Linked DNA regions of Bombyx mori. The protein of the gene in region 2 interacts with the protein of the main gene of each other region in a pairwise test. Links are inferred from orthologs where the notes say so. Each region holds a gene or a part of one and is shown on either strand. Other genes may lie near its edges.

Region 1 (5,111 bases), on a different chromosome or scaffold from region 2:
CTAAAGAAATTCAGAGAACGAATGTATAAAAACACATTTCTCTTCGACATAATGTACTATAATTTGCAGGTAAGTACAAATGACTCATAACATAACAATGTCTCACCACCCTTCGTATACCACCCCGCCACCGTGTACCTGCCTTCGATGACTCATTTATTTTTATCGATAATGGCGTTGCGCCCGCGCAACTTTCTCACCGCCCTAGTCGGCCTATGTTTTATGACCCAAACTGCACGGACAAAATAATTCTACTATAGTAAATTACTACCTACTCAGAATAACAGTAAAAACGAAACCACTGCTTTCAGTTCATAGGCATGACATACTCCATTACGTCTTAAACAAAATATTACATAAAAAACAAGCTGTTTTAGTGTTTATTAAAATGATAATTATATTTTGCCATGTTTCAGAATTTAATTCTATTTTAAGAAAAGTGTACGCAACCTCTTTTCATCATGTTCATGACTGCTGTAAATAAATTAATCTGCTCTTAGCAGAAAATAGTGGGTTGAGAATGTACCCATTATACTCAAAGTATTGTAAAAAAGGGCACATACCATATAATTTATACCAAAACCATGAAATAACCTACATATTATATTTACATAAAACTATTTTGTACTATAGTAGTTCTATAATAAGTAAGTAGGCCATGGAAAAGTCAAACTCAGAAGTAAAGAAACTCAGAAGTAATCTAAAGTTTTCTTTTTGAAATTGTGGCGTTTGTCGTTTCTTATCCAAAAAATTTTAAGGTGATATTCGGTAATATTTTCAATAAAATGGCGGGAAACTATCGAGACGCAAAAATGTATCAATTAATATCCAACAAAACAAAATTGTACCACTTCTGCAAAGTAGGGCAATTTGTCATTAATTCATGTTTAAAAATCCACTAAATCACCTTTATGCTTGACTACCCAAATTATATTGATGTTAAAATAGGTATTTTCAAATTGCCGCCAAAAAGTTCCGTGACATATATTTTACAATGTTGTAAGATACGGAGTTTCAAATTGTGGTGACGGCTTTAATAAGATGTATTCTGAATACCATAAAATTAAACTTATTACCTTGGTGAAATTCTTTATTCACAATACTTTAATAATAATAGGAAGATTGTTCTAAAAAAAACATCAAATTATAAAACAGCTAATTCATATGTTTTCATAAACATAGACAATAATTGATAGTTTAACTTTTATTAATTTTATACTTCGGTTGGTATTTTCAGTTAATAAGTTTTGGTATCTCTTACTGCGCTTCGATTTAAAACCTGTGGTGTTTAGACGAATTAATGAAATCGTGTACTAAAAATGCTCGCTTATTGCATTAAAAATCAGTAGAGTTATATTTCTTAATTCATCAAGCGAAGATTCTAGAAAAATCTGTAAATTGCAAGGTGATTACAAAAATCTGAGTCAAAGACCTTTATATTGTACTATTACTGAAACTGGCTTGATTTTACGTATCACTTTAGTCTTAGTTCGAATCCCAGTGGTAGGGAGTATTTGACAAAATGGATTCAGGTGTACATATTTTTGTCTCTTCGAAAATAATTCTTTCTCGGAAGTGTTGAATTTGGTTTGTAACTTTACGTTAACATAAAGTTTATGGTTTCAAACGTTTCTTTCCCCGTGATTTTTTATTTTATAGGAAAAATATGGCATAATATAAATAACATTTTCGTATTTAAATTAGTTAATTAGTAGATTTAAATCTACGACAAAACTTATGCATTAGCATTACATAATTGTTTTGAATTCTCATCTAAAAAAAAACCGTGAATATACGGATAACTTTAAATATCTGGCAAGGATGTTGCTAAGCAACCAGCTATGTAGCTGAATCGTGGCCCAAGCCCGGCGAACACGAAACCACACGACGTTCGAACTCGGCGACGCTGCGCGTGGCTTCATTTAGTTTGCTTGAAACAAATTATTGTAGAGCAGACCCCAGACAGGAGCAGCCGGCAGGCAGTTCGGTTGTTGCTTCGCGCTCTAACGGCGGTGATCGTTAGGCTTGCGATTCGTGTTAATAACTGTGCTGATTCCAATTACAAAACAAATTTAATTCAAACATGACTGTTGAAGTTACGAATAACATCCCTGAAAACGCTCCTGAGAAAGAGAAAGACATGAAAGAGGACGCGCCGGCCGATAATGGCCAATCCAAAGAGGCTCCATTACCTGATGAGAAAGGCGATGAAAAATCTGAAGAGAAAAAATCCGAACCAGCTCAGCCGAAACCAACAGTCCATAAAACAAATTTTGAGAAAGACGTAGTATATCTCTATCAATTTTCGCGCACTCCTTTGTTACCGTCGACATCCCCATATTGCTTAAAAGTTGAAACATGGCTTCGTTTGGCCGGCATTAAGTACGAGGTAAGTTGCATTTTTGTTACTTATTAATAATTATTATTTTCCTTTCGTAGATCATTTCCTGCTTTCCCCAAACCAATATTTTAAGCTGCGCTGTAGATTGGCCCTTTTGAGATGACCCACCCCTCCGAAAGTTTACTTTGTTTTTTAATTTATATTTTAACTTGGCTAAATTTGGCGAAGTTTGCTTAGCGAATGTATATTTATTTACTTTCGAAGTTTATTTTATAGCCGCAGACTGGTTTTTCTTGTTTTCCCTTGCATGAAGTGACACAAAGATTGCATTCCTAATTTATCAATTTATTTTTAAACCGTACGCACATAACTTATCTGGGGTCGAAACATTAAAGAGACTCCGCGTCGCCATACCATGAAGATAGTGTCCCTTTCACCGTGTCATTTTTGAGATGCCTACAAAAGCTTTCTCTAAAGTAATATTAATGCACTATACATTAAATTATATAAATATATTAAATTTAGTTTTATTAGTCCGGAAACGTGATAACGGGTACTAGTACTTACTTGAGACTATAGTCTATTGTTCTTCTTGCATAAAGGAATTTGCAAAAGTTACCGATTTCGATGAACGTTCATGCCTTATAAAATTGATTATACTTAATCTAAACTAGTATAGATTTTTCATCGCTGCGATAACGGCAGGCAGTACATAGTAAAACCATTTTACAACCTTTTTTAAACAAGTAAAACCAGTATAAATTGAGCTCCCATTCGCGGGTTCACCTGAATTCACGTGTGGGCGTTCTATATTTATAAATAGAAGTAATCAATATATCTATAAATACAACCTCCATTGAGGCCTTTCTGATTAAAAACAAAAAAGCCTAGTAATATTTTGAAGAAAAAAAAACCGTATATTTTGTAGACGTTCCACAAACGTGATTAAAAAACGTTCAAACATTCTTTTATTTTGAGTTCATTTTTGATGGTTGGAAAGTTGATACTCTCAAAAATCGTACTTTGGAATCTGATCATCACGGTGTGGTGAAATTTACATGCTAGCTTCGGGAGGCACAAAATGTGGCCCGCGACCGTCTGTCCATTTACACATACCGATTTTTAGAAGAAAAAATAAATATATTAAAATATACGATTGAACTACACATATTACAATATCTAAACCGACACAAAAATAACGTTTAAACATTTTTTGAATTAGGTACGTACGTTTTCTTATTTTAAATGTAGAAACACAATAACAGAATAGAATAGAAGAACAATAACGCTTTGTTTTGTGTATATTGGTAGGACGTTCATAAATAAAGACATTTATTAGAAAAAAAAAGCGAAACAAAAAAGATGAAATAAATGGCATAGTATATTTTCCGTTAAGGAGTAATTTTTTTTTCTGAATCCCACCGCCTCTTCCACGCTTGGATTTTCGAAGAATTATTGGAGATAATACTTCTAGAGCTATTGGAGATGATATCACTGCTTTATCTGTATATCACTAGAGTCTACCAGTTTTACCTGGTACCAGCTACTACAAATACGGTGCGTTTTCTTTCAGATATCATTTCTATGCGTATTGGATGGAAATAAGCTTCTCTGTACGCTATTTCACTAGCTTTACATGTAATAATTTTTTTTTCTTTGGCAGATTTCTGATATTATCAACAATTTTTACATGTTATAAAGTACCGACATGCTGTAATGATCTAACCCTAATTGCAGTATACCTACCTTATTTTTCAAAATTTTAACATCAATTAAGAAGAATTCACAATCCTGTCTTCTGGTCTTAATCTAGTTTGACTAAATTTTGAGTTAACAAAACCGAAGCCTTGTTCTCGTAAATGGCCACACGAAATACAATTCACAAAAAAAATACATTACAAAAACATGATCCTGATGAGATTGATCGCCGGAATACGGATATTTCCCATTCTTAATTATTTATTACTTTCAACGAAACACCAAAGATCATCAAAAAAGCAACTTTATGAATTAAGAAAAAATAGTGGTGGAATAACTAAGCAACCTCTATTTTAAAGATGATTTTGTTAGTACGAGGAAAATTTTCGAGAAGTTCTCAGTGCGCTGCGTGCGCAGTATAGCGCTATCTCTGTTGAATGTTTCGTTGACGTCATGAAATATTGTACCCACTTTATGACAGTAACTCCCAATACATGTAATGACCACTATTGATTTTAACAGTATACAGCTCGTTAATCATAGACAATTAATCTAATTAAGGACACAGCTTGTGCGATAAATAACTCGGTATCTCAATTATTACCAATATTTTGTTGAAAATCATTGTCTGGAGATAACACCCCAAAAAATATAAAAAATAATTGTTGAAAAAACGAATGTTCTCATTATGAATAAAAACGATTTCGGGAATGACTGATTTTCTCGAGGTAGGTATTGTTGATTACTAACTATTATTATCTTGGAGAATATTATCATTGTCAGACGATGTCCTTCTTCAAACGAGGCTTGTGGAAAGTATTAAACGGTAGGTAGCGGCTTGGCTGTGCCCCTGGCATTGCTGACGTCCATGAGCGACGGTAACCACTCACCATCAGGTGGGCCGCATGCTCGTCTGCATATACGGCAATAAAAAAAAAGTACTGTAAAGGAATATTCCCTAAAATTAGAGTTTTTACACAAATTATGTGGGTGTAGTGCAATGATTGTATGAATCTAGCTTTGTACCTCAATATTGAGTGTTCCTCAAAAATGAAAAAATTATGTACGTATG
Region 2 (5,182 bases):
TTAGTTACAACTTGAATTCCTGTGCTAAAGAACCCTTTATTCATAATTATTCAACTACAGATTTACGCTACAGCAGGAAAATTACGTATGACGTATATACAAAATCATAAGACAAAAATAAAATTTGAATGAATTTATGAATTGAAAAACACCAATTAGTTAACTAACTTAGTTCGGATAATTGTGGCGTGCTTTATTTACCTTTTTCATCCAATTGCAGTTGTGTTTTTACATATTCTGTTGGGAATGTAATACAAATTTCAATGCCTCCTGTAATTCCGCCGGCTACAACTCCCTTTAAGCCTACTGAACCCGAACCACCAGCCGCAGCCGCTGCACCTGTCTCCGACATCCACGGTCTGGAGAATGGGTTTTTGAATGTTCCTTGCCGTGAAGACATGGTCTCTTTTTTCGAGCACTTTTGAAATTCGCAACGACTGCGACGACACTCCCCTACGACATTTAATTTCAGACTAAAAATTTAGGTTATATTAGTTATATACAATCATACTCTATGCTAACAATATGTGTTTGTGTATAGTCTATGAACTAAATTACTTTTTGGCGGGAACGCGAGGAGTGAAGTTGTGTGATTTGTTTTATTTTGTCTATTTAGTGTTTCTTCAGGTTTAAATGTGTAATAACGGTGGTTTATTAACTGTTTAATATCTGTGAAAGTGCACAAATGTGGGAAAATGAAACAAAGCTGCTGGACGTAACTTCTCGGGTTCCTCCAAAAAGTCCACTGAAAAAATCTCAGTAAATGACCACCATTTTACTGCGATTATATTTCATCCCATATCATCTCATTTCATTAAATTCATCCCAGTTGATTAATGTCTCAAATTAATCATCTTCATTTCATTTCACTCCATATTATCATTTTTCATAAAATTAAGACTATAAAGTAAAATAAGACATGACTTAAAGGTCTTAGTTACCAGGTCATAAAATCTCTTAAAAAAAAAAAAATCAATTAAAATAGGACTTTTTGGCGGGAACGCGAGGAGTGAAGTTGTGTGATTTGTTTTATTTTGTCTATTTAGTGTTTCTTCAGGTTTAAATGTGTAATAACGGTGGTTTATTAACTGTTTAATATCTGTGAAAGTGCACAAATGTGGGAAAATGAAACAAAGCTGCTGGACGTAACTTCTCGGGTCCCTCCAAAAAGTCCATTGAAAAAATCTCAGTAAATGACCACCATTTTACTACGATTGTATTTCATCCCATATCATCTCATTTCATTAAATTTCATCCCAGTTGATTAATGTCTCAAATTAATCATCTTCATTTCATTTCACTCCATATTATCATTTTTCATAAAATTAAGAATATAAAGTAAAATAAGACATGACTTAAAGGTCTTAGATACCAGGTCATAAAATCTCTTAAAAAAAATCAAATAAAATGTTTTTTTATTTTATGACTTGGTAGCCTAGACCTTTAAGTCATTATCTTATTTTAATCTTCTTATTCTAATTTATATCTTATTATAATTTATATTCTTATTTTTATGAAAACTGATAATATGGAGTGAAATGAAATGAAATGAAATGAAGATGTCAAGAATGTCTCAAATTAATTTAAATTAATATTTGAGACATATATTAAAGGGATCAACTGGGATGAAATTAAAGGAAATAAGATGAGACGGGATGAAATATAATCTCAGTAAAATGATGGTCATTCACTGAGATTTTTTCAGTGGACTTTTGGGTGAATCCCAAGAAGTTACGTCCAGTAGCTTTCCAAAATAATATATGACTTAAAGGTGTACGTTACCAGGTCATAAAATTAAAAAAATAATTGGATACATATATACATATTCACAGAAACGATTTATAAATTTTACCCTTACCAAATTAACATTACAATTCTTGAAGTAAATGTAATTATTTTATCAAAGGAACAACACAACTACAAAAATGGCCTTACGTACGTACGGCGATAAGCCGATAAGTTTTCAAATCGAAGAAGGAGGAGACTTTTATTGTGTTGGCTCAGAGGTAAGTTCCATACATTTCTTGATTAAAAATACATCGAACTACTCGAAACATAATTTTAAAGATACGTTATTAAAAATTATTTCATTCACTAACGGAGCTAGTCTTTCTTTTGTCGAAGAACATCGTTCCTAACCTCAATCTGGTCTATTATACAAACTTGCCTTTTAGAATTATTCTTATTTCGATGAGGCTTGGTTTCCATTACTGTAAAGCAGACTATAGTTTATTGTCCATCAAAGTATAAGATAAAAAATAGAACAATAGGTCTATATCACCCTTATGAAAATGGAATACAAATTTTGGAGATAAAATAACTAAGGAATTTCTGTAGAAGGCAAAACTGAGCTGTAATAATTATGTTGCCCTTTAATGACAATTCTTTAAAACTCATTTTCTTAGCAATAATCGAGTAAGTAATCCAGTAAACAGATCCATATTTAACAAAATCCCAAATACATATACATGTACAATAACATCATTAGCTAAGAAACCTAAGATTTTAGTTAAAGAGATACAAATCATGAAAGTTTACCAGTCCATTTTAACTACTGGCTTAAGATACCATACTGTACTTTTTATCTTTTTTCTGTATCTAGTTGCATAATTCAGTGTTCATGTGAAGTTTCTCACTATAATCTTCTATTCTACAGTAGAACTTTCTAAAGCGCCATTATGAATTATATTGAATAAGTAAACGACAGTGATTGCTTGCAGTGCAAATTAAAACAAGTTGTGGCACCCAATGCTGTTTCTGCTCTTATTTTTTTAGATGAGCAATGATGTATTTTCTTCAGTGTTTCTGAATTGTATAAAAAAAGGTCTAATTTCATATTTATTATATTCATTTCATTATCATTTTTCATGGCATATTAACACTGTTCTAACTACTGTAAATTGTTATGACAAAAAATTTAAATGATTAAACAATAACAGTGGTTTTAATTAAAAGCAATGCAAAATTATATTGTGGTGTCGAAAACAGCAGTTTTAACTTGAGATTTCCAGATTTTGTATTTTGATTAGTCTTATGCCCGCTTAAAAATGCAAAAAAATTAACTATTGCCTTAGGTCGGGAATTACCTGCGCTTGTTCCGTGGGTCACTCTACAAGAAGTACCCTGGCATGTGCCGGCGTACCCTCACCAATGAAGAACGTAAGCGATTAATTGACAACGGTCTTGGTCCTCATGTGCTGTCCAGTTCAGTTTCACTGTTGAAGGCGTCAGAAGTTGAAGACATTATTGAAGGGAATGATGATAAGTACGTCATTATAAACATTTTGTGAACTATTGAAAGCGGTTAAAACCGACAATTGCTGTGTTAGCATAGACAGGTGAACGAGTTCATAATCCATCTGATGATAAGTGAAGCTACCTGAAGTAGTCAGTCGAAATATTAGACCTTTAAGTTTTGGTGAGCACCTGGCACTATTGAAGTCCACGAACGACATTAACCACTTACCATCAGAAGAATTGTATGTTTGTCTTATTTTAAGGACAATAAAAAAAAAAACAAAATGTGTGCATATCTTTCTTCTTCATCGCTCCCTCATTGCTGAGGATTGTGACTCTGTTTCAGCTGTGCCAGTCTCCATCGGTTCTGGTCAGTTGCTGTGTGCATATCAAGGAAATCTTAAATACTATGAATTGTATATGAAACAGCAGTTGTCCATTAAACTATTTACAGCTATGACACAGCTTTAAATTAATTTATAGATACAAAGCAGTGTCCGTCAGCCAAGAGTTGGCGACACCCCGTGAGAGCAAAAGCAAGAAGCCACACACTCCATCATGGCTGCCAGTCATGCCAAACTCTTCTCATTTGGATGCTGTACCCCAGGCTACTCCAATCAGCAGGAGTAGGGTGCATAATAAGAAGGTAAAATGGATGTTAAAGTCAAAACTTAAAGTCCAGTTGGGCTTCAGGTTCTGACTCCTAGGTTTATCTAGTTAATCATGTTTGACATGGGGCCACACTCTAAGGTCAACACAACACATTTAATTTAGCTTCTGATTCAGGATAGATAGATAAGATAGATAGAATATCTCAAAATCAGAGACACATCGTAAGATAAATAACAGATTTTGAAATGGAACATTGGAATTAATGTAATATACTATAGTTCTAAAGTATCATTATTAAAACTAGCATAAAATGAATACTTTTCAGGTGAGAACATTCCCACTGTGTTTCGATGACACAGACATGACTGCAATGCTGGAGAATGCTTCGCAAAAGCAGGTGCTTGTACCGATTCGATTGGACATGGAGATTGAGGGTCAAAAACTCAGGGATACATTTACATGGAATAAAAATGGTATGTTTAACTGCATTTGTTACCAATTCTGGTTGTTTATTCTCAATTTTTGATTTCAGAAAGTATTTGAATAATAGAATGTGTAATTGCTGTCTACCAAATTATAAATAGATTGGCTGTATTTACTGTGAATTGTATCGACTGTCAATTGAAAATATATAATAACATTTTCTTATATCTTTAACTATAACTATTCTTTATAAAGTTCTTTAATCATGCTTAATGAAAATTGTTGGTCTGCAGTAAGTGTTGAAGATCAGGAGGACCTTGTCCAACTGTCTTGGATCACAGAACAGTTCCAATGCGCCCTGCAAATTTGGTTAAAATATTTTTAATGTTTTATCGTTTTCATTCTATATTGTTCTTTTAGCACAACCCTTACATAAATTTAGGAATACGCTCCTTAATTTTTATATCCATAATGTGTATGTTCCCACTTTTTTTTCCTGCCTAAGCTGATAGCCTTGAGAGGCTATATCAGCGTTGCCTTAACTAGTAGGTGAGCTCACGGGGCTCAAACGTGATGACGTTGTTAACACGAACGCTAGCAAGAGCCGTGTGCTTCGCAGAATCTACCACCAGATCGGAAACGCGACCCACTGAGAAGATCCGGCGAGAAACTCAGTGGGCTGTGTCTGAGGCTTTTTCTCACAAGGATTGCAGGCAGCCTATTAACAAGTTTTTGAATAAATAAAAAATTGGAGGATTGTTTTCCAGAATCAATAATAACACCAGAACAGTTTGCCGAGGTGCTGTGCGATGATTTAGAGTTGAACACGAGCACCTTCATACCTGCTGTGGCCTCCTCGATCCGGCAACAGATCGATGCCTTCCCGAGCGAGCCTCCCCCCATACTGGAG

What was found. The genes of interacting proteins can lie anywhere in the genome.
Region 1: the proteins of SWI/SNF-related matrix-associated actin-dependent regulator of chromatin subfamily B member 1-A (region 2) and failed axon connections interact in a two-hybrid assay, tested with the Drosophila melanogaster proteins (2 studies listed by BioGRID). The link is inferred for Bombyx mori from reciprocal best matches to the Drosophila melanogaster genes Snr1 and fax.

Annotation. Positions count from the first base shown.
Region 1 is NC_085107.1:8,812,977-8,818,087, reverse strand, and holds the start of failed axon connections, read left to right. Parts: upstream 1-1,842; 5' UTR 1,843-2,083; coding exon 2,084-2,389; intron 2,390-5,111. UniProt on the Drosophila melanogaster protein: Together with Abl, involved in embryonic axonal development.
Region 2 is NC_085122.1:12,050,572-12,055,753, reverse strand, and holds the start of SWI/SNF-related matrix-associated actin-dependent regulator of chromatin subfamily B member 1-A, read left to right. Parts: upstream 1-1,750; 5' UTR 1,751-1,925; coding exon 1,926-2,006; intron 2,007-3,074; coding exon 3,075-3,265; intron 3,266-3,720; coding exon 3,721-3,883; intron 3,884-4,174; coding exon 4,175-4,322; intron 4,323-5,039; coding exon 5,040-5,182. Other genes in the region: putative tricarboxylate transport protein, mitochondrial, read right to left, coding at 202-400.